Kluyveromyces lactis: one gene and its partner. Each later gene encodes a partner of the first gene's protein in a complex. Links are inferred from orthologs where the notes say so. Each region holds a gene or a part of one and is shown on either strand. Other genes may lie near its edges. The genes, in order: ARC19 and ARC15.

The links.
Region 2: ARC19 (region 1) and ARC15 share a complex: the UniProt entries of both Saccharomyces cerevisiae proteins name them as parts of the arp2/3 complex. The link is inferred for Kluyveromyces lactis from reciprocal best matches to the Saccharomyces cerevisiae genes ARC19 and ARC15.

Annotation. Positions count from the first base shown.
Region 1 is NC_006041.1:1,625,536-1,628,163, reverse strand, and holds ARC19 (Arc19p), read left to right. Parts: upstream 1-1,569; coding exon 1,570-2,085; downstream 2,086-2,628. Other genes in the region: snoRNA-splicing protein PRP40, read right to left, coding at 1-1,071; DAL81 (Dal81p), read left to right, coding at 2,463-2,628. UniProt on the Saccharomyces cerevisiae protein: Functions as actin-binding component of the Arp2/3 complex which is involved in regulation of actin polymerization and together with an activating nucleation-promoting factor (NPF) mediates the formation of branched actin networks.
Region 2 is NC_006039.1:699,614-702,069, reverse strand, and holds ARC15 (Arc15p), read left to right. Parts: upstream 1-1,395; coding exon 1,396-1,857; downstream 1,858-2,456. Other genes in the region: ARG56 (bifunctional acetylglutamate kinase/N-acetyl-gamma-glutamyl-phosphate reductase), read left to right, coding at 1-1,049; YRB2 (Yrb2p), read left to right, coding at 2,163-2,456. UniProt on the Saccharomyces cerevisiae protein: Functions as a component of the Arp2/3 complex which is involved in regulation of actin polymerization and together with an activating nucleation-promoting factor (NPF) mediates the formation of branched actin networks.

The DNA of each region.
Region 1 (2,628 bases):
GAAATTCTTAGAACGCAAACCTTCCATTTCCGTTTTGAGTTCAGCCATCTTTGACTCAACAAAGGTAATGTAAATTTTGAAAACATCACTCCTTGTAATTGATACGAAGTTCTTATTTGAATCGAATCTTGGTGATCCCCATAGATATTTTGTAGCGAATTTGCTCCATGGTAAGTTGCTGGGGTCAATATCATCGGATATGCTAACAAAATACAGATTCAATTCTTTTAATGCCTCGTTTCTAACTTTGGTATGCTGTGCTTCGTGTTCATGCTGTAATGAAGATATGTACCTTTGGAACGTACGCTTTTTCTGTTTCTCATCAATGACAGAATGCTTGTAAATAGGTTCATTCATTATCTGCCTCTTGATAGTTTTCCAACGCGAATAGTAACGAATGTTGGGCAATTTCTCAAGCATTTCTATAAAGGCCTGTTCGAATTTTTCCAAATGTTGATGCTCTTTAATCAACTCCGATTCTGTTCTGTTCGACAAGAACTTGTCAAACATTGATTGTTTCCACAATGGGTCATCATCTATGATCCAATAATGCGGATCTTTGTTCCCAATTTCGCGAATAATCCTATTGAACGACCATGTAGAATCCACTTCGTTATCTTGTAACATTTGCAAAAACACCTTCTCGGCTTCTTCCTTTGATGGAGCCTTTCGTACAACCAAAAGTTCTGATTCGTTTTTGTATTTGTTCTCGCTATCTTTCAAGATTTTTTGTACATCTACATCTTTTCCACTTTCTACCTGTGTAGAGTTGGTGTCAGCTGCCGATGCAGTATCCGGTTGCCCAGCTTTGCCAGACGATTTGGTTGGTATACTTCTCTCATCACGGTTATCATCGTTCTCAAAAACCGGCACGTTCCACGTAGTCTCTCCTGTGTCTGACTTGTAATAATAAACCCTACCATCCTCTGCAAGAGCAGTTTTCCAACCATATTTCAGCAGCTTCCTTTCAAACTCGGTGAATAGCTCTTCTGGTTTTTCCCAAGTGGTCTGTCCTGTATCATTATAATAATAGACTCTTCCTTGAGGATCTTTGGTCTCTTGCCAGGACATTTGAAATTAAAATGTTTCTGGCTGGAGAATTGCTATCTAGACACTTGGATAACTGATGGTCGTCTCATCCCCTCATCCCATCGCTAACACAGTTTAAATCATTTGGATTGAGATTTCAATTCATAATATTAGATCATAAACCTTGTTACCCTGATTGTATTAAGCTGTGGTAAGAATGCTATAACGTGGGATCAATGCCTCCATCAGACCTGAAACTTAGGACAAAATAAGCCTGATGATTCCCTTCCATCATTTCCACAGTTTTTGGCATCCAATGGCCTCATTTGACCCAGCAATTTCTAGTTTTCCGTGTCTTCTTTCTTACATTGGTCCAGTTAATGTGCTGAAATTTCATTCAGAATTAATTCTTTTGACCCTATTTGAACCAAATCACAACCGATAACGTTGAATAAAGACAGGTTTGCAACCCCATCTTTTGGCCATTGTCACCGTAAAAGCTGCAGTTCTCCAACCCATCAGTTAATAAGTGAAGGAAAAATGTCTCAATCGCTACGTCCATACTTAACAGCAGTGCGTTACTCATTGCAAGCTGCTTTGAATCTATCAAACTTCTCCTCTCAAGAAGTGGAAAGACACAACAGACCTGAGGTCGAAGTGGACAATACAAGTGCAGAACTTCTATTACAACCTATGCATATCGCACGTAATGAACACGAACAAGTTCTAATCGAACCAAGTGTCAACTCCGTCCGTATGAGTATTAAAGTGAAACAAGCAGATGAGATTGAACAAATTTTGGTACACAAATTCACCAGTTTCCTCGAACAAAGAGCAGAGAATTTTTACGTGCTAAGACGTGTCCCAGTGCCTGGGTATAGTATCTCTTTCTTGATCACAAATAAACACACCGAGACTATGATTACCGAGAAATTGATCGAATTCATCATCGACTTCATGGAAGAGGTCGACAAAGAAATCTCTGAAATGAAATTGTTCTTGAACGCCAGAGCTAGATTCGCAGCAGAAGCGTACTTGGAACAATTCGTCTACTAGATTGCCAACTCTCGTGGATATATAGATGTATAGTCCATGTATAGTTAAACAAAGTATTATGATCACGTGAACCGTTCCTAGTTCCATTGGTTTGTTACCCGGCTATATGAGATTTTTCGAAACCAACAAAGAAGGTTAATAAATGGAAACGTACTGAGGAAAAGATAAACGTTTGTTTGTTGATAACGCATCGGACGGTGATTTAGGGACCTTGGACGCGTATTTGGCTGCTTCAAGTGACTAGATTCGGTAGTTTTAGGGTGCAAGTCTCTTGTACTGAAGGATTTTGTGGTGTAAAGCGTTTGAGATAGAGTCTGTCTTTACTATTCTCTTTGCTTTTGTATATCAAGGTTTCGACAGGTTTATCAAAGAGCGCGATGAGTGGAAGCGCAGCATCCGTTAATGGTGGTGACTCTCTCTGGAAGGCCGATTCTTCTGAAGATGTGGATTCTGGTACAGGGAACCCTGAGGACGCTGGGAACAGTATTAGAACTGGTAAGGAGACCACTTCAGTTGAAGCAGGTTCGGCGTCTGCGTCGAGCT
Region 2 (2,456 bases), on another chromosome or scaffold:
CCAGTGGTCAATCATCCAGATCTTACTCCACTAGGGCCAGATCTGCTCCTAAAGTAGAAGGCACTAACAAGAGCCCTGCTAAAGTTGCTTTGATTGGTGCCAGAGGTTACACAGGTCAAAATCTTATTTCATTGATAGACTCACATCCATTTTTGGAATTATCTCACGTCTCCTCTCGTCAAAACGCTGGTAAGAAGTTGGAAGGATATAACAAGTCTGAGATTATTTATTCGAATCTACAAATTGATGACATAAAGAAACTAGAAAGTGAAGGTGCTGTCGATGTGTGGGTCATGGCGTTGCCAAACAAAGTGTGCGAACCATTCGTTGAGGCCATTGAGTCGGTTGCCAACGGTAAATCCAAAATTGTCGATCTATCCGCTGATCATAGATTTGTCCCGGAGACGGAATGGAGCTACGGATTACCAGAGTTAAACAACAGAGAAGCAATTGCCAATGCTAAAAAGATTGCTAACCCCGGTTGTTACGCCACCGGTGCCCAAGTAGCGATTGCTCCTCTATCGGAATACATCACAGGATTACCCACAGTCTTTGGTGTTTCTGGTTATTCTGGTGCTGGTACTACACCATCTCCAAAGAATGATCCAAAATTCTTGAACAACAATCTAATTCCTTACTCCTTAACAAACCATATCCATGAGCGTGAAATTTCAACTCGTTTGGGTTTGGAAGTCGCATTTGTTCCTCATGTTGCCCAATGGTTCCAAGGTATTTCTCATACTATTTCTATTCCTATTAAGAAGAACTCACTATCTTCAGAACAAATTAAGGCCTTGTACACCGAATTCTACGCTAACGAAAAGTTGGTACATGTTGCCGATGATATTCCGTTAGTTAAGGACGTTTCTGGTACTCACGGAGTAGTTGTTGGTGGTTTCAAGGTAAATGATGCAAAAGACCGTGTCGTAGTCTGTGCTACTATTGACAACTTATTGAAGGGTGCTGCCACTCAATGCTTACAGAACATCAACCTGGCCTTGAGTTACGGTGAATACGACGGTATTCCAGACAATAAGATTATTCAATAAACGGAACCACCAAAGAATAACCCGTATATCTATATCAATTTGAACTTAGTTAATATATATGTATAAGAAGATAATGTTATCATCTGCTTATCGTTCTTCCTGTCAGTGATAAACAGTCAATCGGTCCAGTGCTGTAAACCATAGTTACCCTGTTTCCAGATTTATTACCCGGATATCTCCTATAAGTTACTATTGAATGGGATTCATATTGAATGGAAACCTTTAAATGGATTAGGTTAAAATACTCGAAATAACTGCAGGCCGGTCTACTTCTTTTATCAGGAAGCATTAGCGCTGAATTATCCTTATCGTATTCATCCAAGCAGCTGCCTTCTGAACTAGTAATATGGAAGACTGGAGAAGAATTGATATCGATGCTTACGATCCTGAAAGTGGGAGATTAACGGCGGATGATTTGAAACCACCATATTCACATACCGTGAGTTTACAAGAGTTACAGCCAACCATTCAACAGTTACGTTCTTACACATCATCTGGTGATTTTGCAGCTGCTGTTGAGCTATTCACAACTGATCCTCCATACAACGCCGACGAACAAGCGAAATCACAATATTTCTCTGGTATATTGGAGGTGCTAACCCAAGTGAGACAAGTGGATATTGCTAATATAGTTAAGCGCTTGGATCGCAAGCAACAAGACGCATTGATAAAATACCTATACAAGGGTATGTCTATACCTGAGGGTCAAAAGCATGGGGGTATCCTTCTCGCATGGTTCGAAAAGTTAACGCAAGTTGCGGGTGTCAATCCAATCGTTCACTATCTCTCGGATAGAAGAACTGTATAAAGAACTATATAACAGTACGATTTTACTTAATTTAGTATGATATATTTACTCTAACGTATATGATCCAGTTTCACCTACCAATGGGCGATCATTACGGATCTTTGTTTGTTTGGCCTTTGTTCACATGGAGTGCAGGCCCTTTATTAAGTATTACTGGGACCTCTCAGAGTTAGTATTTCCAAAAAAAAAAAAAAGAGAAAGTACTAGTTTTAAACATTCAGTTCTTATTGAAAGCACAGACATATGCCAAGAAAGGGTTATAATATTGTCAAGAAGGCTCCAGTATATTGTTCCTGCTTTTCACAATGCCAGAAACTTTAAACGATAGCAATAAACGTGCGCTTCCTGAGGTGAATTCGGAATTAGAAAGCACAGAAACTCCTGTGAAGAAGGTCAAACTCAATGATAAAGATGAAGCAAAACCTTCAGAAGAGACTGATAAGTTCATAACAGAGAATGATACAGCAAATGAAGAGGCCAATTCCGTAGAGAGACCTAAAAATATTGAAACTGCTGAGACAACGGAAACAGCGGTAACAAAAGAAGAAGATACAAATAATAAAAAAGAAGAAGAGGCCAAGGAAAAAGATGAGGGCGCC